3 linked regions of the Anolis sagrei genome follow. The protein of the gene in region 2 binds, or shares a complex with, the protein of the main gene of each other region. Links are inferred from orthologs where the notes say so. Each region holds a gene or a part of one and is shown on either strand. Other genes may lie near its edges.

Evidence for each region. The genes of interacting proteins can lie anywhere in the genome.
Region 1: the proteins of AP3B1 (region 2) and AP3D1 are in contact, whole or in part, in a cryo-EM structure (PDB 9C5C), measured with the Homo sapiens proteins. The link is inferred for Anolis sagrei from reciprocal best matches to the Homo sapiens genes AP3B1 and AP3D1. Residues at the interface, in NP_003655.3 of Homo sapiens: Asn75, Lys466, Lys467, Gln470, Val494, Ala497, Ser498, Trp501, Leu531, Leu534, Gln535, Asn538, Lys542, Asn567, Tyr568, Asp569, Asp572, Arg573, Arg575, Phe576, Ile577, Gln579, Leu580, Lys586, Gly588, Ala589, Leu590, Ser591, Tyr593, Lys596; in NP_003929.4 of Homo sapiens: Lys352, Leu442, Ile446, Ser471, Tyr483, Trp487, Glu491, His517, Ala520, Val521, Gln524, Asn525, Lys528, Val561, Gln562, Ser563, Ala564, Leu566, Glu567, Gln569, Glu570, Arg571, Ser573, Cys574, Gln577, Leu578, His581, Ile582, Leu585, Lys588.
Region 3: the proteins of AP3B1 (region 2) and AP3M1 are in contact, whole or in part, in a cryo-EM structure (PDB 9C5A), measured with the Homo sapiens proteins. The link is inferred for Anolis sagrei from reciprocal best matches to the Homo sapiens genes AP3B1 and AP3M1. Residues at the interface, in NP_003655.3 of Homo sapiens: Leu60, Lys64, Val67, Gly68, Ile70, Ala71, Lys72, Gly73, Ile92, Glu93, Lys96, Leu97, Val100, Arg104, Glu107, Asn128, Gln129, Leu130, Arg137, Arg143, Ser163, Pro164, Tyr165, Lys168, Asn169, His172, Gln175, Lys176, Leu202, Ser206; in NP_001307192.1 of Homo sapiens: Met1, Phe15, Leu16, Glu17, Trp20, Lys21, Ser22, Val23, Gln26, Val42, Glu43, Asn44, Val45, Pro46, Pro47, Val48, Ser50, Tyr55, Ser58, Ile59, Tyr60, Gln71, Thr72, Glu73, Val74, Pro75, Pro76, Leu77, Phe78, Ile80.

What each region holds. Positions count from the first base shown.
Region 1 is NC_090034.1:51,490,164-51,497,479, reverse strand, and holds the start of AP3D1 (AP-3 complex subunit delta-1), read left to right. Parts: upstream 1-4,304; 5' UTR 4,305-4,539; coding exon 4,540-4,635; intron 4,636-7,316. UniProt on the Homo sapiens protein: Part of the AP-3 complex, an adaptor-related complex which is not clathrin-associated. The complex is associated with the Golgi region as well as more peripheral structures.
Region 2 is NC_090022.1:265,418,407-265,426,179, reverse strand, and holds the start of AP3B1 (AP-3 complex subunit beta-1), read left to right. Parts: upstream 1-4,755; 5' UTR 4,756-4,971; coding exon 4,972-5,105; intron 5,106-7,773. UniProt on the Homo sapiens protein: Subunit of non-clathrin- and clathrin-associated adaptor protein complex 3 (AP-3) that plays a role in protein sorting in the late-Golgi/trans-Golgi network (TGN) and/or endosomes.
Region 3 is NC_090023.1:148,570,356-148,578,038, reverse strand, and holds the start of AP3M1 (AP-3 complex subunit mu-1), read left to right. Parts: upstream 1-4,671; 5' UTR 4,672-4,780; intron 4,781-7,683. UniProt on the Homo sapiens protein: Part of the AP-3 complex, an adaptor-related complex which is not clathrin-associated. The complex is associated with the Golgi region as well as more peripheral structures.

The DNA.
Region 1 (7,316 bases), on a different chromosome or scaffold from region 2:
ACTATCACAGGATGTCTACGCCCTACACTGCTGTAGGAATTATACTGTTTAGCTGGTTTTGCATCACCTGACAACTGTCAGAAAGTAGCAGACTGTAATGAAAGGACCAAGGCAGTGACATCTCCGGCCCATCCTCTGTTTGGATATTAGCCAGCACACCAGCCACTTAAATCAAGAAATAGCTTCCTAATATCGAGAGAGATATTCTCGATACTCTCGTGGCTGTTGCATGTTCCAGAGTAGGCAAACCTGACAATCTCCACATCAACACTGACAAAGAAACAACAAGAAATACTGTTTTCCCACAAGCATAAAGAAATTACAAATGCGTGACCATATTTCTGTGTACGAACCCACACAATCTCTTCGATCATCTGGAAAGGCCCTGCTCACACTCCTACCTCCTTCGCAGACGCGATTGGTGGGGACGAGAGAGAGGACCTTCTCGGTGGTGGCCCCCCGACTCTGGAACTCGCTTCCCAAGGACATCAGGCATGCCCCAACTCTGGCAGTCTTTAGGAGGAGCCTGAAAACGTGGCTGTTCCAGTGTGCCTTCCCAGAATAGGGAAAACTCTCAGCATTATGTCCTCAAAATGCACTTTACTACTGCTTTAGGATTGACTGCATTCCCTCATTCTCTCTAAAAATCCTATCCCAATTATATCCTACCTGGTTCACATCAGCACTATTTTTTTAATTTTAATCTATCACATTTGGCCTGGCCATTGGTTTTAAATGTTTATATGTTACTGTTGACTGCTTATTGTTTATTTTGTTTATGTGATTATGATTTATATTGCATTGATTGTTTATTGATGTTTTATTTTATTGGTGTTCTGTTTATTGATGTATTGCGGGCTTGCCCTCATATAAGCCGCACCGAGTCCCTTGGGGAGATGGTAGCGGGGTACAAATAAAGTGTTGTTATTATTATTATTATTATTATTATTATTATAAAACTTTCAGCAATATGCCCTCAGAATGCACTTTACTACTGGTCAGGATTGACTGCGTTCCCTCATCTCTCTTTGAAAACCCTATACCAGTTATATCTGACCTTGTTCATGCCCAGCGTTTATTTTTTAATTTTTAAACCATTACATTTGGTCCGGCCATAGGTTTTTAAAATTTTGTGTGTTACTGTTTATTGGTTATTGTTTATATGTGATTTATATTAATTGTATTGTATTTTCTGCTTTGTTTATTGTTGTTGTTTATTGATGTATGGTTGGGCTTGGCCTCATGTAAGCCGCTCCGAGTCCCTTGGGGAGATGGGAAGTTTTATTATTATTATTATTTTATTATTATTATTAGAAACCAACACTTTCTCATTACTTTATTTTCCAGATCACCAGACTGGGCCACAGCAACGTGTGTCAGGGGACAACTAGTGATTTTTTTTTGGTCGTGTTAGGAGCAAGTCGCTTCTGGTGTGAGAGAATTGGCCGTCTGCAAGGATGTTGCCCAGGGGACGCCTGGATGATTTGATGTTTTTATCATCCTTGTGGGAGGCTTCTCTCATGTCCCCGCATGAAGAGCTGGAGCTGATAGAGGGAGCTCATCCACCTCTCCCCGGATTCGAACCTGCGACATGTTGGTCTTCAGTCCTGCCGGCACAGGGGTTTAACCCACTGTGCCACCGGGGGCTCCAGCTAGTGATAAATAAATAAGTACTGTTTTTGTGCTTGTTGTTGTTGTTCATTCGTTCAGTCGTCTCCGACTCTTCGTGACCTCATGGACCAGCCCACGACAGAGCTCCCTGTCGGCCGTCAACACCCCCAGCTCCTTCAAGGTCGGTCCAGTCACTTCAAGGATGCCATCCATCCATCTTGCCCTAGGTCGGCCCCTCTTCCTTTTGCCTTCCACTTTCCCCAGCATAATTGTCATCTCTAGGCTTTGCTATCTCCTCATGATGTGGCCAAAGTACTTCAACTTTGTCTCTAGTATCTTTCCCTCCAGTGAGCAGTCGGGCTTTATTTCCTGGAGGATGGACTGGTTGGATCTTCTCGCAGTCCAAGGCACTCTCAGCACTTTCCTCCAGCACCACAGTTCAAAAGCATCGATCTTCCTTCGCTCAGCCTTCCCTAAGGTCCAGCTCTCACATCCGTAGGTTACTACAGGGAATACCATGGCTTTGACTAGGCGGATCTTTGTTGCCAGTCTGATGTCTCTACTCTTCACTATTTTATTGAGATTGGACATTGCTCTCCTCCCAAAAAGTAAGCGTCTTCTGATTTCCTGGCCACAATCTGCGTCTGCAGTAATATTAGCGCCTAGAAATACAAAGTCTGTCATGGCCTCCACATTTTCTCCCTCTATTTCCCAGTTGTCAATCATTCTTGTTGCCATAATCTTGGTTTTTTTGACATTTAGCTGCAACCCGGCTTTTGCGCTTTCTTCTTTCACCTTGATTAGAAGGCTCCTCAGCTCCTCCTCGCTTTCGGCCATCAGAGTGGTGTCATCTGCATATCTGAGGTTGTTAATGTTTCTTCCAGCAATTTTCACCCCAGCTTTGCATTCATCAAGCCCCGCACATCGCATGATGTGTTCTGCATACACGTTAAAAAGGTTGGGTGAGAGGATGCAGCCTTGCCGTACGCCTTTCCCAATCTTGAACCAGTCTGTTGTTCCGTGGTCAGTTCTGACTGTTGCTACTTGGTCCTTGTACAGCAGTGTTTCTCAACCTGGGAGTCGGGACCCCTGAGGGGGTCGCGAAGGGTTGTCAGAGGGGTCGCCAAAGACTATAAGAAAAACAGTATTTTCTGATGGTCATGGGGATTCCATGTGGGAAGTTTGAGCCAATTCTATCATTGGTGGAGTTCAGAATGTTCTTTGATTGTAATGAACTATAAATCCCAGCAACTACAACTCCCAGATTACAAAATCAATCCTCCCCCAACCCCACTAGCATTCACATTTGGGTGTATTGGGTATTTGTGCCCAGTTTGGCCCAGTAAATGAAAATGCATCCTGCATATCAGATATTTACATTATGATTTATAACAGTAGTAAAATGACTGTTATGAAGTAGCAATGAAAACAATATTATATTAAACATACATCAAGGGAACCACTGATCGCATAGGGAAGCTGATGAGGAAACACAACATACAAACAATCTACAAACCCACCAAGAAAATCCAACAAATGCTACGTTCAGCAAAGGACAAGAGGGATCCTCTTACCTCTGCAGGAGTCTACCGTATACCATGCAGCTGTGGACAAGTCTACATAGGGATCACCAAACGCAGCATTGCCCAGACACGCATCAAGGAACATGAAAGGCACTGCAGACTACTTCAACCAGAGAAGTCAGCCATAGCAGAGCACCTGATGAACCAGCCTGGACACAGCATATTATTTGAGAACACAGAAATGTTGGACCACTCTCACAACCACCATGTCAGGCTACACAGAGAAGCCATTGAAATCCACAAGCACGTGGACAATTTCAACAGAAAGGAAGAGACCATGAAAATGAACAAAATCTGGCTACCAGTATTAAAAAACTCTAAAATTATAACAGCTAAACAACAGAGAGGAAAAAACCAGGCACAGATTAACACCTCCCAGCAACAGATTTTCCCAGGCTCAAGCAGGCCTTCAAATGCTAATGAAGGTGATCAGCTAAACATTCACACCTAACTGCAGCAGGGAAGAGCTCCTTGCCCCACCCCAGCCATTCCACAGATATATAAACCCATTTTCCTACTTCCAACAGACCTCACAACCTCTAAGGATGCTTGCCATAGATGCAGGCGAAACGTCAGGAGAAATGCCTCTAGAACATGGCTCTATAGCCCGAAAAAACCCACAAGAACCTAGTAAAACAATATTATGGTTGGGGGTCACCACAACATGAAGGACTGTATTAAGGGGTCATGGCATTAGGAAGGTTGAGAACCACTGTTGTACAGATTCCTCAGGAGAGAGACAAGGTGGCTTGGTATGTTTTCGTGCTGATGGGCAACAAAAGGGGGCTTGGCTTTCAACAGGGCGCCGCCTCCATGCTGTCATTGGTGGGCATATAAGGGGGCGTGGCGTACTGACGGTGAATATTGAAAAGCCAGGAACCACCTTCGTGATGACGTCAGCCGGCATCAAAAGGGGGCGTGGCTCTCAGCTTCCATTCGGGCGCGGCCTGTGTGCTGACGTTGGTGAGGCTAAAAGAGGGCGGGGCTTCCAGCAGTCGCCGCCTGCGTGCTAATCCTAGTTAGTATGAAGTGGGCGGGGCTTCCAGCCGGCGCTCTTGCGTGCTGACGCCGTCGCGCAAAAAGGGGGCGCGGCTTGAGTTTCCTCTTCTCAGCTGACTCTTCGCCATTTTGCCATTTTAATTGCCTCAGAGAAGCGGCGCCGGAGGGGCAGGAAAGAAGGGACTGGAGGCGGCCGCCGCCCCGGGATGGGAGCGCGCCTTTAAGGCCGAGGACTGCCTTCTCGCCGCCGGTGTTGCTGGAAGCAGCCTTTCCCCACCCGCCTCGAGTCCAGCGGCGGCTTTCCTCTCCTCCTTCTTCTCCTTCTCCTCCTCCTCCTTCCGCCGCCATGGCTCTGAAGATGGTCAAAGGCAGCATCGACCGCATGTTTGACAAGAACCTGCAGGACCTCGTGAGGGGCATCCGCAACCACAAGGAGGACGAGGTGAGCTCCCGCCGCCTCATCTTGGAGTGTCATCTTTCCCCTTCTCAATGCGTTTAGATTCTTTGGAGCCATTCCTTTTGATTTTGTATCTATCTTTTACCATTAGTCTAGTTGTTCACTGTGTATTAATGGTTTATTATATTATTTAGAATAAATCTAATCTAATTCTTTACCATTTATATTTGTTGTATCCATTGCTTCCTAATTTCATCTATTGTTATATTATTTATTTTTGCTACATTGTTTATTTCAAATTATTTGTTATTTATATGCATTTATGTGCAGTGTTTTGTATTTTTATCTATTACTAGCCATCCCCTGCCACGCGTTGCTGTGGCCCACATATGGGTCCTGTGTGGGAGATATGGCCAAATTCTATTGTTGGTGGGGTTCGGAATGCTCCTTGATTGTAGGTGAACTATAAATCCCAGCAACTACAACTCCCAAATGTCAAGATTCTATTTTCCTCAAACTCCATCAGTGTTCACATTTGGACATATTGAGTATTCATGCCAAGTTTGGTCCAGATCCATCATTGTTCGAGTCCACAGTGATCTCTGGATGTAGGTGAACTACAAATCCAAAACTCAAGGTCAATGCCCACCAAACGCTTCCAGTATTTTCTGTTGGTCATGGGAGAACTGTGTGCCAAGTTTGGTTCAATTCCATCATTGGTAGGGTTCAGAATGCTCTTTGATTGTAGGTGAACTATAAATCCCAGGAACTACAACTCCCAAATGACAAAATCAATTTTTTTAGTGAAGGACATACATTGGGTTGTTAGGTGTCTTGTGTCCAAATTTGGTGTCAATTTGTCCAGTGGTTTTTGAGTTCTGTTAATCCCACAAACAAACATAACATTTTTATTTATATAGATACCGTAATTATTCGTATTATATTTGTTCACTATTACCGTTTATATTATTTATAAAACTTCTTAACTATTATTTATTTATATTATTGATATCAGTTGCTTTTTTATCTACGCATTTTTATTACTGTTTAATATATTGTTTGGAATACTCATCATTTATTCTTTATAATTTATTTATATTGCATTATATTCTCTATTTATTAATAATTAATGATTAAGGATTCTTATATTATTTATAATGTTCGTTATCTATTCATTGTAATTTATTAATATTATTTATATGTATTGCGTACTAATTTATCTATAATTATATTTGTTCACTATTAATGTTTATTATTTGGAATATTGGTTATCTTGTATTGTGTGTTTATTATGCATTGTTTTAGGCACACTCTGCCATCTGTAAGCCGCCCCGAGTCCCTTTGGAGAGATGGAGGCGGGGAACAAAAAAAAAGTTATTATTTATTTATTTATTTGCAATTTATTAATATAATATTTGTATCGACAGTATTGATTTTTTATCTTATTTCTTTATTTCGTAACTGTTTCTTAATATTTATTATATTTTGTTTTTATCTATATGTTTACAATTTATTGTTTATATTATTTATAATATCTATTATTTGAAATTTATTTATATTCCTTGTATCCATTGCTTTTTATTTTATTTATTCACTATTTATATTTATCTTTATTATCTTTTAAGCTATTTATTAATGTCCATTATATTTATATTTGTTATTTAGTATTAACACTTTGTTTATATTATTTATATCCATTGCTTTTTATTTGTGTCGATCAATTTAATATTATATTTGTTCATTGCTAATATTTGTTATATTAGTTATTGATTTATTTATGATTTCTTATTAGTATTTGCTTCTCTTTTTATTTTTATTTTTTTAGTCACTGTATATACTCCAGTATAAGCCTATTTTTTCAGCCCCTTTTTTAGGCTGAAATAGTTCCCCTCGGCTTATACTCGAGTCAAGGTTATTTATTATTTTACTCTGTTATTAGTATTATTTTTATTACATTTATTATTTTACTCTATTATTATTATTACACTTACATTATTTTCCTCTATTATTATTTTATTACATTTATTATTTTATTCTATTTATTATTATTATTGCTTTTATTATTTTACTCTATTATTGTTATTATTGCTTTTATTACTTTATTATTACCAATATTATTACATTTCTATTATTTACTCTATTATTATTTTTATTTCATGTTATTGCATTTATTATTCTACTCTATCATTATTAGTAATAGGTAAGCACATTTGCATTGAAGGAGGTTAGAATAATGGTTTAATCAGATTTGGGCAGTCTTATCTTAAATTACAGTTGTATGTAAATACTCAAAAACATTTAACCTACTGATGATTACCAGTACAAGCTAAATTTCTCACTCTCAGCTTATACTCAAGTCAATACGTTTTTGCAGTTTTTTGTGGTAAAATTAGGTGCCTCGACTTATATTCGGGTCAGCTTATATTCAAGTATATATGGTATATATATATATATATATATATACACACACACATATATATACATACACACATACACATAAACACACATATCCTCCCATCTATATTACTATGGGTCTCTTATAGCTATTATTTACTTTTTATGTATTTGTGGCCTATATTTATATGTATTGCTTTGTCCGTTTTTACTAAACTGACTATGTACTTATTAATCTGCTCTATTTGTTGTTTATTTACATTTGTTGCTTTTTACCTGTTTATATTTTCAGCTCTTCTATTTATTATGCATATAATGTGTATGGGTCAGCT
Region 2 (7,773 bases):
TGAGCTCCTGGTGGCGCAGTGGGTTAAACTGCTGAGCTGCTGGCTCCCTGGCGATTCGAATCCAGGGAGCGGGGTGAGCTTCCACTGTCAGCCCCAGCTTCTGCCAACCTCGAAGTTCAAAAACATGCAAATCTGAGTAGAACAATGGGTACCACTCTGGCAGGAAGGTAATGATGCTCTATGCAGTCATGCCAGCCACATGACCTTGGAGGTGTCTATGGACAACGCCGGCTCTTTGGCTTAGAAATGGAGATGAGCACCAGCCCCCAGAGTTGGGGCTACAAAGTGGAGTAAACGTCATGCGAGTGTGGAGAAGAGCACAGAGCACCTAATACAGTGCAACCTGAGCTCTAGGAGCCCCTGGTAGCGCAGTGGGTTAAACCCCTGTGTTGGCAGGACTGAAGACCAACAGGTCGGAGGTTCGAATTCGGGGAGAGCATGGATGAGCTCCCTCTATCAGCTCCAGATCCTCATGCGGGGACATGAGAGAAGCCTCAGATAATGTGGGATTTTATTCAGCTGTGTGGAAGAGGCCTCCACACAGCCCCCCCTGCATGGATGAAGAAAGACAATGCCCAATAAACGAGTCTTCCCTTCAACCCACAATATCTCTCCCTTATGCAGGGCAATGCATAAGGGAGAGATATTTTGATGATAGCTTAAAGGTAAAGGTTTCCCCCTGACATTAAGTCCAGTCGTGTCTGACTCTGGGGGTTGGTGCTCACCTCCATTTCTAAGCCGAAGAGCCGGCGTTATCCGTAGACACCTCCTAGGTCATGTGGCCAGCATGACTGCATGGAGTGCTGTTACCCGCCGGAGCGGTACCTATAGATCTACTCATATTTGCATGTTTTTGAACTGCTAGGTTGGCAGAAGCTGGGGCTAACAGCGGGAGCTCACCCCACTCCCTGGATTCGAATCAGCGACATTTCGATCAGCAAGTTCAGCAGGTCAGCAGTTTAACCCACTGTGCCACCAGAGGTTATATAATCAAAATACGTAGTATATTTTGTATACATAAAATATATAGTGTATGCATGTGTGTGTATATATATATATATATACACAAACACACACATGTATATACTAGCCATTCCCTGCCGCGCATTGCTGTGGCCCAGTCTGTGTATGTTTTGTGTGTGTGTATATGTGTGTGTATATGTTTGTGTATATGTGTGTTTATGTATATATGTGGTTTTGTGCATGTGTTGTAATGTGTTTTTTGTTTTTTAAGGTCTCTTATGCTGTGTTTTTCAGTGTCTTTATGAGTGATGGTCACTTGTTGGCCTGATAGATGTCGTGTCCAAATTTGGTGTCAATTAATGCAGTGGTTTTTGAGTTGTTAATCCCACAAACGAACATTACATTTTTAAAAATATATAGATATATGTTGTTGTTCGGTCGTTTCTGACTTTGTGACCTCATGGACCAGCCCATGCCAGAGCTCCCTGTCGGCCTTCACCACCCCCAGCTCCTTCAAGGTCAATCCAGACACTTCAAGGATACCATCCATCCATCTTGCACTTGGTCGGCCCCTCTTCCTTTTTCCTTCCTTTCCCCCCAGCATAATTGTCTTCTCTAAGCTTTCCTTTCTTCTCATGATGTTGCCAAAATACTTCATCTTGGCCTCTATTATCCTGCCCTCCAATGAGCAGTCAGGCTTTATTTCTTGAAGTAAGGACTGGTTGGACCTTCTCGCGGTCCAAGGCACTCTCAGAATTTTCCTCCAACATAGTTCAAAAGCATCTATCTTCATTCACTCAGCCTTCCCTATGATCCAGCTCTCACGTCTGTAGGTGACTATGGGGAATACCATTGCTTTGACCATGTGGATCTTTGTTGCCAGTGTGATGTCTCTACTCTTCACAATTTTATCAAGATTTGTCATTGCTCTCCTCCCAAGAAGGAAGTGTCTCCTGATTTCCCGGCTGCAGTCTGCATCTGCAGTAATCTTTGCACCTAGAAATACAAAGTCTGTCACTGCCTCCACGTTTTCTCCCTCTATTTCCCAGTTGTCAATCATTCTTCTTGCCATCATATTGGTTTTTTTTATGTTTAGCTGCAACCCAGCTTTGTACATACACTATATATAGATATATATAGTACTAGCTGTCCCCTGCCATGCGTTGCTGTGGCCGTCTGTTGATCTGGAAAATAAAGTAATGAGAAAGTGTTGGTTTCTAATATATGCAATTTCTTTATGCTTGTGGGTAAACAGTATTTCTTGCTGTTTCTTTGTCAGTGTTGATGTGGAGAGTGTCTGGTTTGCCCACCCTGGAACATGCAAGATATCATTGTCCTTCTTTAAGGGTCCCTTTCAAATCTATGATACTATATCTCTGTGTGTGTGTGAATAACATCTCTCTCTCTCTCTCTCTCTCTCTATCTATCTGAGTCCACAGTGCTCTCTGGATCTATCTATCTATCTATTTATCTGTATGGCTGGATGGCTCTTTGTCAGGAGGACTTTGATTACATTTTCTTGCCCTGGAGAAGAGAGTTGGACTGGATGGCCTTAAGTATTTTCTGTTGGTCATGGGGGTTCTGTGTGGGAAGTTTGCGCCATTTCTGTCATTTGTGGGTTTCAAAATGCTCTTTAATTGTAGTGAACTATAAATCCCAGTAACTACAAATTCCAAATGTCAAGGTCTATTTCCTCCAAACTCCATCTGTGTTCATATTTGGGCATATGGAATATTCATGCCAAGTTTGGTCCAGATTCATCATTGTTTGAGTCCACAATGCTCTCTGGATGTTGGTGAACTACAACTCCCAACCTCAAGGTCAATGCCCACCAAACCCAAGGATACCATCCATCCATCTTGTCCTTGGTCGGCCCCTCTTCCTTTTTCTTTCCATTTTCCCCAGCATTTTCTGTTGGTCAAGGGAGTTCTGTGTGCCAAGTTTGGTTCAGTTCCATCATTGGTGGAGTTCAGAATGCTCTTTGATTGTAGGTGAACTATAAATCCCAGTAATTACAACTCCCTATGCTGGGGAAAGTGGAAGGCAAAAGGGCCGACCAAGGGCAAGATGGATGGATGGCATCCTTGAAGTGACTGGACTGACCTTGAAGGAGCTGGGGGTGATGACGGCCGACAAGGAGCTCTGGCGTGGATTGGTCCATGAGGTCACGAAGAATCGGAGACGACTGAACGAATGAACAACAACAATGACAAAATCAATTTTTGAGTGAAGAACATATATTGGGTTATTAGGTGCATTGTGTCCAAATTTGGTGTCAATTCATCCAGTGGTTTTTGAGTTCTATTAATCCCACAAACGGACATTACATTTTTATTTATATAGATAGAAGATTGTATACATACAAAATCTTCAACAGCCAGACAGTGAGTATTTCCCCTGGCAACATGGTTCTGGATTTTTCACCAAATCCTTATAGCAGTGGTTCTCAACCTGGGCCCCCAGATGTTTTGGCCTTCAACTGCCAGAAATCATAACAGCTGGTAAACTGGCTGGGATTTCTGGGAGTTGTAGGCCAAAAACATCTGGGGACCCCAGGTTGAAAACCACTGCCTTATAGCCTATGACTCTGGAGACCAGGGTTTAAATGTCTATGGAAACTCACCGAGTTACTTTGATCAAGTCACACTTTCTCAGCCTTAGAAATCCAAAACCATGCTTCTGGGGAGACAGTTTAAGTGGCTGAGGAGGAAAAAGGAAGGGCCTGAGGCCAGGCCTGTAGCGAGGGGGTGGTTTTAGGTGTTCAAACCCCCCCTGAAATGTTTCAGATTTTTTTTAAAAAAAACCCTGGTTTACTCATGAATTTTGACTGGTTAACCAAATCCCCATGCTAAGTCTATGAGATGCAAAAAATTAAGAGTCCCTCCAGAACTGTAAGCACTATCTGAAGCAAATATTGACAATTTATTCACACTGTCATTACCTGCAGCAATAGTGGATGTAGTGAAGCAACCAAGTTGGGGGGGGGGGGTGTTGAATGCTCTCATTAAGGAGGCCAGACTTGGTGGAGGTGGTTGACAGGGGCGGAGCTGCGGGCTATTGAAGGTTGCTCTGCCCCCTGCTGTGCTCTTTGCTTCAGCATGAGCTAGGAGGCAGGTTTCAACACCCCCAGGGGCGGCTCACCCATTACGCAAAGTAAGCATTTGCAGTATAGTTGATTTAGCCCAGGGGCGCTCTTGAGGCGCTCTTGGGGGAAAATAGACCTTGACATAAGCGAGTTGTAGTTACTGGGATGTATAGTTCACCTAAATCAAAGAGCATTCTGAACTCCACCATTGATGGAACTGAATCAAATATGGCACACAGAACTCCCACAACGAACAGAAAATATATATCAGTGATTGGTTAGGGGGGGGGGGGGGGCTCCAAAATACTGTTTGCTTACTTTGAAAATTACCTAGGGCCGCTTCTGAACACCCCCCCCCGTGAAATTTTCAAACCCCCCCCCCCCAAATTTCAACCCCTCCCGAATTTTTTTTCTGGCTACGGCCCTGCCTGAGGCTGTTAGGAATGGTGGAAGTTGGAAGTCCAAAACACCTGGAGGGAGGGAGGGCCCAAGTTGGCCCAGGCCTGGCCTGGAGTCGGGGGCTCTGCCTACGTGGCAACAAGAGCGCGAGCGCGATAACGGGACCGCCTTCCTTCCTTCCTGGCGCTCGTGACTGCCTTTGGGCGCTTAAGGAGGAAAGGAGGAGCCCCTCGTGACAGTGGGCGGAGCTTATGGAAATTGAGGGGGAAGGGCCTTGCGTTCCCATGACAACGGCGGCGCTGGAGAAAATCCCATTCAGCCGTTCTTCCCCTCCCACTTCTCCCCCCCTCCCTCCTTCGAGGAGCACGTGACCAACATTGGAGTGCTGCTTGCTTGCCGTCAGCTTCCGGGACGAGCCGGATTGTGTCTGTGTGAGGGAAGCAAGGAAGGAAGGAAGGAAGGAACAGCGGGAAGGCGAGGCCCAGGGAGAAAGCAGCGGCAAGGGAAGCGACTCTCACGGGAACATGTCGGCTAACAGTGTCGGCTACAACGACCAGGCCGGGGATGCGCAGGCGGAGGTGGGCCAAGAGGCGACGCCCACCACCGCTTCCTCCTCTTTGCCGGCGGCCTTCGGGCTCTTCAGCAGCGACGGGAAGAAGTAAGTGGCCAAGCGGGAGGGAAGGGAACACACGGGCCATCCAGTCCAACCCCCCTGCCATGCAGGAAAAGCACAATCAAAGAAGCCCCGACAGATAGCCATCCAGCCTCTGCTTAAAAGCCTCCATGGATCCTTCCACCACACTCCGAGGCAGAGAGTTCCACTGCTGAACAGCTCTCTGTTCCACACAGCCCTATATCCCAGAATATCAAGGCAGAAAATCCCACAATATCGCCTTTGAACTGCGTTATCTGAGTCCACATTGCCATATAGTCCAGCCCTATATCCCAGAATATCAAGGCAGAAAATCCCACAATATCGCCTTTGAACTGCGTTATCCGAGTCCACATTGCCATATAGTCCAGTTCATTGCAGATAATGTGGGATTTTATTCATCCCACATTATCTAAATGGTTCTGGCCCGACCTATCTGTCCGAACACATCTCCTCCTATGAACCAGTTAGGACATTAAGATCGTCTGGGGAGGCCCTGCTCTCGGTCCCACCGGCCTCACAAGCACGCCTGGTGGGGACGAGAGACAGGGCCTTCTCAGTAGTGGCCCCCCGGCTGTGGAACACCCTTCCTACAGACATTAGATCGGCCCCCTCCTTATTGGCATTCCGGAAGAGAGTGAAGACCTGGCTCTTTGAACAGGCTTTTAACTAAGCAGTGCCATTGATTGATTACTGGAATATGGATTAATGGACAACGAGATCGGGTGCTGATTCTATTGACGAGACGTGATGGATTGTTGTTTTGCTGTATTGTTGTATTGATGTTTTGATGTTAGCTAATTGATATTACTGTTTTAAATGATTAATGATTTTGTACTGCGTTGTTGATACTGGTTGTTAACCGCTCTGAGTTGCCTGATGGCTGAGAATAGCGGTATACAAGTGAAATAAATAAATAAAATAAATCTGTGTGGAAGTAGCCTCACTGCCAGGAAGTTGTTCCTGATGTTCAAGTGGAATCCCCTTTCCTGCAATTTGAACCCATCGCTCCCTTCCACACAAATGAATAAAATCCCAAATTATCTGCTCTGCACTGTGGGCCCTTCCACACAGCCCTATATCCCAGAATACCAAGGCAAAAAATCCCACATCTGAGTGTGGAGTTAGACAACCCAATTCAAAGCAGATATTGTGGGATTTAGTTCCTTGATATTCTCCCATATAGGGCTATGTAGAAGGGCCCTGTAATATATGGCATTGTGGACTCAGGTAACTAAGGGCCCTTCCACACAGCCATATAACCCAGAATATCAAGGCAGAAAATCCCACATTATCTGAGTGTGGACTTAGATAACCCAATTCAAAGCAGATATTGTGGGATTTAGTGTCTTGATATTCTCCAATATAGGGCAGTGTAGAAGGGCCCTGTAATATATGGCAGTGTGGACTCGGATAACTAAGGGCCATTCCACACAGCCATATAAACCAGAATATCAAGGCAGAAAATCCCACATCATCTGAGTGTTAAAGCAGATATTGTGGGATTCTCTGCCTTGATATTCTGGGGTAGAGGGCTGTGTGGAAGGGCCCATAGGACCCTTCTGCACATTCCTATATCCAGAAAAATCCCACAATATCTGCTTTGAACTGAGTTATCTTAGTCCGCACTCAGATAATGTGGGATTTTCTGCCTTGATATTCTGAGCTGTGTGGAAGGGCCCTTAGTCTCCAGGGTAGCAGAAAATAAGCTCACCCCCCCCCCCTCAATGGACAGTCTTTCAGATGTTTAAACATGGCTGTCATGTCCCCTCTTGGCCTTCTTTTCCCCAAATTAAACATACCCAGCTCCTTCAGCCGCTCCTCGTAGGGCATGGTTTGTATGGGAACACCTTGCACGAGAAGAATATGGAGCCTCCAGTGTTGCAGCGGGTTAAACTGTGGAGCTGCTGAACTTGCTGAACAAAATATCTGTGGTTCAAATCCGGGGAGTGGGGTGAACTCCTGCTGTGAGCCCCAGATTCTGCCAACCTTGTAGTTCGAAAACATGCAAATGTGAGTAGATCAACAGGCAGCACTTTTTCAGGAAGGTAACGGCACTCCATGCAGTCATGCTGGCCACATGTCCTTGGAGGCGTCTTTGGACAATGCCAGCTCTTCGGCTTAGAAATGGAGATGAACATCACCTCCCAGATTCGGACACAACTAGACTTACCTTTACTTTACGAGAAGAATAAGTCGCTCAGGGTGTATTTGTGCTAAACAGTTATATTGATTTGAAGGCCCTTAATTCCATCGCATCAAATCCTGTGATTTGTAATAATTATCTGGCTCCATTTCAAGGCATCCTATGATTTGTAATAAAGGGTCCATCCGCAATGTAGAAGTAATGCAGTTTGACAGCATATCTAAGTGCCCTTGCACAGTGCTATGCAATCCTGGGAGGCCTCTTCCACACAGCTGAATAAAATCACACACTATCTGCATTGAACTGAACTATATGGCAGTGTGGATTCAGATAACCCAGTTCAAAGTAGATATTTTGGGATTTTCTGCCTTGATATTCTGGGATATAGGGCTGTGTGGAACGGCCCTGTGTTGTGACCCTCCTTGAGCCATGGGGAGAGGCGTGTAAGAAATAAAAATTATTATTATTATTATTATTATTATTAATATTATAGGGGGAGGTTATTTTTTTGATGTCATGTTACCGCCC
Region 3 (7,683 bases), on a different chromosome or scaffold from region 2:
CAAAAGAGTAGGAGGTCCACTGCCGTCATGGGCAGTTGCTTTTAAATGTATTTGTAGTGAGTGTGTTAGGTAAGTTAGGTGATTGTCAAGTTGTAAAATTGTGTATTATTATGTATGACACGTATGATTGTGATTATGTCATTGTCATTGGCATAAATGGAAATTGAAAGACAAACTTAATTGAAGTTAAGAAAGTGCTATCAAATACACTTTCCATGCTTTTAGGTGGAGCTCAACATGAACAGGCTCTCTTATGCATGTTTTTCCTTCTTTCAATGAAATGCATGGAGTTTGCTTAAAAATCAGTACTGTCAGCTGCCTATACACACACACACACACTTTCATTTTATTTTGGGAGTGCATTAATGCAGCACTTAGTACAAAAAGAGGAATTGGATTATACCTCATCCTGCACTAAATCTCATCTGAACAAACCTCTGATGCTGTCCATTTGGATTCCTCTAATTGCAAAATCTTCTGAATTAATAATCTATTAATAATCTATGCACAAAGTTCACCGTTCTGCCAGGCGTTCATTCTTTCATCTCTCTAACAAAAGACACAAAGTGCCTCACCACACTACAGCATGGATCCGGTTTCTGCCTCCTGCAGAATTCTGGGGTTTGTAGTTTAGTGAAGCCCAGGACCTGTCTGGCTGAGCATTTCAAAAGCCCTTCCCCTAAACCACAAGCCCCAGAATTCTGTAGGAGGCAACAACTAGATTTAAAGTGGATCCATGCTCCATGATGAGATCCTTTGAGGATAGCTAATATGATCTGCTCTTCACAAGCTTTTCATTTCCTAGTCTCATTCTATATCTTCATTATTTTTAAATAGGCTTTTTGGTGTCAATAAAGAAGATTTTAAAGTCGCCTTCGGGCTGAGAGTGGCGGTTAACAAATGCAAATAATAAATAAATAAATAAATAAATAAATTTAAAGATTTGTTTTGATTTTTTTTTAAAAATGCCTTTTTACAAACTTTTTTGCATACAAGTATTTATTTATTTATTTATTTACTTTGCTTATATACCGCAATTCTCAGCCCATGGGCTGAGCAACCATGGGCTGTATCACATAATGACCAGACAGACTACTGCAGCCTTCCAGATGCTATTGGACCAGTTTCTATCAGTTTCTCTCAGCAATACCCCGCACTGACACTGCATGTCATACCACAAGGGGGGGAACCACCGAGAAGGCCCTTTTCCTCGTCCCCACCAGACGTGTTTGAGAGGCTGATGCGACCGAGGGCAGGGCCTCCCCGGTGGATCTTAAACTACGAGGCGGAACGTTGAGGGAGATACGTTCGGACAAGTAAGCTGGGCTGGAGCCATATTATTAGTAGTAGTAATATTACATATAATATAAATATATCTATATATATATAAATGCTCTGTACGTAATGAGTACCTTAAAAACAAAACAAAAAACCTACTGGGCCAAATGACCCCAAATTTGGCAACAAAACTCCTCACAATCCAAGGAGTGACCATCACTGAAAAAAAAACCCACAAAAATACCTTTAAATTAAAAATATTACTATATTAAATAGACTCATAGAATAGAGTTAGAAGGGACTCTACCATAGGATTGCAGAAGAACAGACAGGAAGGAAGGAGAGAAGAAAGGAGGGAGGGGAAAAGGGAATGAATGAAGGAGGGAAAGGGGGAAGGAAGGAAAGAGAGAAGGAGGGAGGGAAAGAAGGAAGGAGAGAAGGGAAGAGGGGAGGAAGGGAAAAAAGAGGTACCGAAGGAAGGAACAATACAAAGTAGAAAGGAAAGAAAAAGGGGAGGAAAGGCAGGAAAGAGGTAAAGAAGGAAGGAGAAAAGGAAATAAAAAGTGAAAGAAGGAAGGAAACAGGGAAGAAAGGAGACAAAGGAAGAAGTAGAGAAAGGGGGAAGGAAGGAAGGAAAGAGAGAAGGAAGGATGAAACCAAAGTGGAAGAAGGAATGAAAAAAGAGGTAGAGGAGGAAGAAAGGAAAGGGGAAGAAAAAAGGGGGAAGGAATAGGTAGGTACCGCTCTTTCATAACAGTCCAGATATCTACCTCTACTTCGAAAATTCTTACTATAGGCCACAGCAATGCGTGGCAGGGCACACCTAGTATAATTATAATATTAGTAGTAGTAGTAGACGTAAATATATGTCCTAAACGGTTTGAGACCCGCCTACCTGCGTGACCGCATCTCCGTATATGAACCCACACGATCCCTCCGTTCATCTGGAGAGGCCCTGCTCATGATCCCACCTGCGTCACAAGTGCGTTTGGTGGGGACGAGGGACAGGGCCTTCTCTGTGGTAGCCCCCCGACTATTGAACTCTCTCCCCAAGGACATCAGACAAGCCCCAACGTTGGCAGTCTTTAGGAGGAGCTTGAAGACCTGGCTGTTCCAGTGTGCCTTTCCAGAATAGGAAACTCCCAGCATCATGTCCCAAACGCACTTTACCAGAAATTTAAGATTGCCTGCACATTGCACCTACCCTAAAATCCTTACATTTCACCAGTCATGTCCAGCACTTTTAATGTATTCATTACATTTGGCCCGGCCCTAGTTTTAAATGTGTCATGATGTATTGTTCTGATGTTTTACTGTTACTGCTTTAACGTTTATTGGTTTGCTTTACGAGTTTTATTGTTGTATTTGTGATGCTGTTGTTTTATTGAGGGCCTTGGCCTTTGTAAGCCGCACCGAGCCCTTTGGGAGATGTTAGTGGGGTACAAATAAAGATGATAATAATAATAATAATACCATAGTACAGGCAACAAGGTGGAACTGTCCTCTGCCCCCCTCAATGTGGACTCAGATAACCCAGTTCAAAGCAGATATTGTGGGATTTTCTGTGGTTATAGGACTGTGTGGAAGGGTCCTAAGTAATCAGTCCACACTGCTATATATTCCAGTTCAAAGCAGAAAATGTGGGATTGTATTATTTATTTATTTATTTATGGCATTTATATGCTGCCCTTCTCACCCCAAAGGGGACTCAGAGCGGCTTACAAGGTATTTTATTATTATTATTATTATTATTATTATTAATTAAACTTTATTTGTACCCCGCTAGCATCTCCCGAAGGACTCGATGCGGCTTACAAACGCCAAGGCCTCAACACAACAGCAGTAAACAACAACAATACAAAAGAAAGCAAATTAAAAAACATATGCAATAACAAAACATTACACTATTACACAATAAAAACCATGGCCGGGCCAATGATGGGTACAGGTTAAAAAGTGCTGGGTGTGACAGGAGGTGTATTGGAATTCTGGGCAAGTGCAATGTGCAGAGAGTCTTAAACTCTAGTAAAGTGCTTCTGGGACAAAGTGCTGGGTTATCCTATTCTGGAAAGGCACGTCGGAATAGCCAGGTCTGGAAGTTCTTCCTAAAGACTGCCAACGTGGGTGCTAGTCTAATGTCTTTGGGGAGGTCGTTCCAAAGTCGGGGGGCAAACACAGAAAAGGCCCTATCCCTCGTCCCCACCAAGCGCGCTTGCGACGCAGGTGGGATCGCAAGCAGGGCCTCTCCAGATGACCGAAGGGAGCGTGTGGGTACATAAGCGGAGATGCGGTCACGGAGGTAGGCAGGTCCCAAACCGTTTAGGGCTTTGTAGGTAAGCACCTGCACCTTGAATTGGGTTCGGTAGGTAAACGGCAGCCAATGGAGCTCCTTATACATACAATATATTATATTATTAGCATAGTACAATATCAGTTTTAAATATTGCTATATTGTACTATACCAATTAAGCTGTGTGGAAGGGGCCAAAGTGTCCTCAAACTGCACTCAAAGTATGGTTTAGATCTGTGGTTCCCAACTTTCGTCCTCCAGGCGTTTTGGATTTCAGTTCTCCTAATTCCAAACTCGCTGGGAGTTGAAGTCCAAACCAAAGGGAGGGCCAAAGGATAGGGACCACTGTTGTAGATGCCCCAATGGCGAAATGTCGGCCCCCCTGCTGAGAAAGGAAGAAAGGCATGCAGGCAGGCTCCCAGGCCGCAGGAACAATGCATCCCCGCCTTCCCAAGTGGTTACTGGGCAACCGGGCCCTTCACAATAGCGGCCGCTCCAACTCTGCAGGAGCGCGAGGCAGAACAGGTGGTATCCCGCAGCGCCGAGCTCCAGGCGTTCGGACTTCAATTCCCAGAAGCCTCCGCTGCTTGGGCCAATGGCCGGGGATTCTGGGAAACGGAGTCCAAAGCCCTGACAGACCAGAGTTTGGGGACCGTTACTGGAAGGGCTTCTCTTGGAGGTGCCAAACCTCCCACTGAACGGCGGAGGAAGGGGCCGGGGGCCGGGAGAAGCCTTCTCCCTCCCTTACCTCAGCCGGGCCGGCTCCAGCTTGGGCTTCTTGGCGCGGGGCTCCTCCGCTGCCATCTTCACGCCCGTCCTGCGCGAGACTGGTGCTTTGGCGGAGGGGAGGGGGGAAAGGAGGAGGAGGGCCGCCCCGTCCTGTCCCTTTCGGGGAAGCCGGCTGAGGGGAAGAGGGGCTGTGCAAGGAGAGTGCCTGCTCCGGAAAGGCCCCCCACGCAGGCCCTTCAAAGCGGGTTCGTGGAAGCCTGTGTTTCCTTTGCCACGCTGAGCAAATTATAAAGCATTCCTCTAATCAACCGAAAGAGGCGCCTCGGGGTCGTGAGGGCGGGCGCCTGACTTTCGGCGCAGGCAATTAGCGAGGACGCCCTGCTGGGGCGGGGCGGGGGCCTCGCAGCCATCTTTGGCCAGCGCCACTGCTCTTGCTGCTCTCGCTGCTGTGCTGGCACCGACGCCGCCTCCACCAGCCGAGGGGTGAGTCCTCCAGAGGGGCCGGGGAGGGCGGCCCGGGTAGAGAAGAGGCCCCGCTGCCTCTGGCCATGGCTTCGTGCCGCCCTCCAGGTCCAGGAAAGAAAGACACGCGTCTCTTTGCCAGCCTTCAAGGGGCCTGTGGGTGGGTTCAAGGCTGCCACACAGGGGTGGTGGAATAATACAGTTGGAAGGGACCCCAAGGGCCATCCAGTCCAACCCCCTGCCAGGCAGGGAAAGCACCATCAAAGCAACCCCGACAGGTGGCCAAAAAGAGTGCCACTTTCAGGGCATTCATAGAACCATAGAGTTGGAAGAGATCCCAGAGGCCATCCAGTCCAATCCCTTGCCAGGCAGGGAAAGCACCATCAAAGCAACCCCGACAGATGGCCAAAAAGAGTGCCACTTTCAGGGCATTCATAGAATCATATTGGAAGAGACCCCAAGGGCCATCCAGTCCAACCCCCTGCCAGGCAAGGAAAGCACCATCAAAGCACCCCTGACAGATGGCCAAAAAAAGTGCCACTTTCAGGGCATTCATAGAATCATAAAGTTAGAAGAGACCCCAAGGGCCATCCAGTCCAACAGCCTTTCAGGCAGGAAAAGCACCATCAAAGCAACCCCGACAGCTGGCCAGAAAAGTGCCACTTTCAGAGCATTCATAGAATCATAGAGTTGGAAGAGATCCTAAGAGCCATCCAGTCCAACCCCCTGCCAGGCAAGGAAAGCACCATCAAAGCACCCCTGACAGATGGCCAAAAGGAGTGCCACTGTCAGGGCATTCATAGAATCATAGAGTTGGAAGAGATCCCAAGGGCCATCCAGTCAAACCCCCTGCCTGGCAGGAAAAGCACCATAACAACAACAACAACAACAACTTTATTTATACCTCGCTCCATCTCCCCCATGGGGACTCGGTGTGGCTTACATGAGGCCACGCCCATCAGTACAGTACACACAATATAACACAAAAACATAACAAAACCAGAAAATAAAATACATAAAATGCAAAACCAATATAATAAGCGACACAACAATATAAAATGAAGCATTAAAAACAACATCAAAGCACCCCCGACAGATGGCCATCCTCTATTTAAAACCTTCAAGGAAGGAGCTTTCACCACACTTCGAGGTAGAGAGTTCCACTGTTGAACAAATCTTACAATCAGGAAGTTCTTCCTAACATTCAAGTGGTATCTCCTTTCATGATTTGGTTTGTTTTTTGGGTCAGGGTGACTTGAGAAATGGCAAGTTGCTTCTGGTGTGAGAGAACTGGCCATCTGCAAGGACGTTACCCAGAGGATGCCCAGATGTTTTACCATCATGTGAGAGGCTTCTCTCGTGTCGCCGCATGAGAAGCTGGAACCGATCGACGAGAGCTCACCCTGCTCCCCGGATTTGAACTGCCGACCTTTAGGCCAGCAGTCAGTTTGATTCCTCTTTGTCTGACCCCATCAGGCCCTGCTTTGCTCACAGAGGAGGGCTGGTGCCTTCTGGGTAATAAGACAGGTTTAGTGCTCATCAAGAAAAAGGAGGGGACACTGCTTGGGCAATGCAAGTCTCTTGGGAGCGAAGCAGGGCCTGATGGGGTCAGAGCAAGAGGAACGAAACCTCTAAAGCTTCTACAGGAGCCGATCACCTTGTAAAAGAGGTGGTTGACTTCTGGTCAGAAAAGAATTCATTGATAATTTTATTAAATTACAATTAGTTTGCATGTCATGATAAAAAAATAAGTATATTGCCTTGCCTTATGACTTACAAAGGAAACTATTTAATTTTGCCTTAGTAATGGAACAATAATACTAATGAACAATGCAAGGAAGGAAGAGGAAGGAAACGAGTTAGTGGCCATTTTGTACCTCAAAGAAGTTGGTTTGTCTGTGAAGAATCCATGTAGTTGAAACCTCAGAACCAAAATTTGCTTCCTTATGTGCTGGAAATCTTATTGTAAAACTATTAGAGTTGGACCAGTACTGATTTACCATTGAGTAGTTGATTCACTGGGCTTCATCATTAATAGGCTCTCGCTGTATCATTGTCTTCCAAGGGCAGAGTCTTTCAGTCCGCAAATTACTGTAGAGACCTATGTTGGGTCCACATGGTATTTCATAATAGGAACAAATGTCCAGATGGAAGGCAGTCCCAGCAAGAGTTTTATTGGCACACCTTCCTCTTGGCACATTTCTCCCTTTTGCCCCCACCCCCCATTCATTTTTCCACAAAATCCATAGCACTGTTGGTAACAGCTGACCTCCAGTTAGCATTTTGCTTGAAGACCAGGCTTCCCAGCTGTCGGTTTACTATTGAGCAGTTGATTCACTGGACTTAGACTGGTTGCATCTAGCAATTTGATTGAGACATGTATTTCTGTAATGTGTCATCTAGATCAGTAGATCTAGATGATCTACTGATCTTTGGCCTACAACTCCCAGAAATCCCAGCCAGTTTACTAGCTGTTAGGATTTCTGGGAGTTGAAGGCCAAAACATCTGGGGACCCACAGGCTGAGAACCATTAGTTTAGATAAATTAAACTGAAGGTTGTGTCTGTGTCAGTCTTGTGCCAGATTTAAAAGAGAAAAGGTGGTGTTCATGTGGCCTGCTGTTTTCTCTAAAGCTTTGTAGTCATGATCTTGCTTTAGTCTTGTATACTTTTTGGAAAATCTGTATTGTAATACTTAGAAACAACATATTTTGCTAGTTCTAGAAAACACTTCCTTAAACTATCTATACAGGTAGAAATGGTGATTGAAAGATTGCTATTCAATATTTTTATATAATTCTCTTTAAAAAGAAAAAAGAATCATTGGGAAACAAATGAAGCACATCAAAAGAATTCCTCTGGCATCTGTTTTGATTATTTACTTTTGGTTAAAAGCAGGTGTCAGTGAGACCTAGAAGGCAAGTC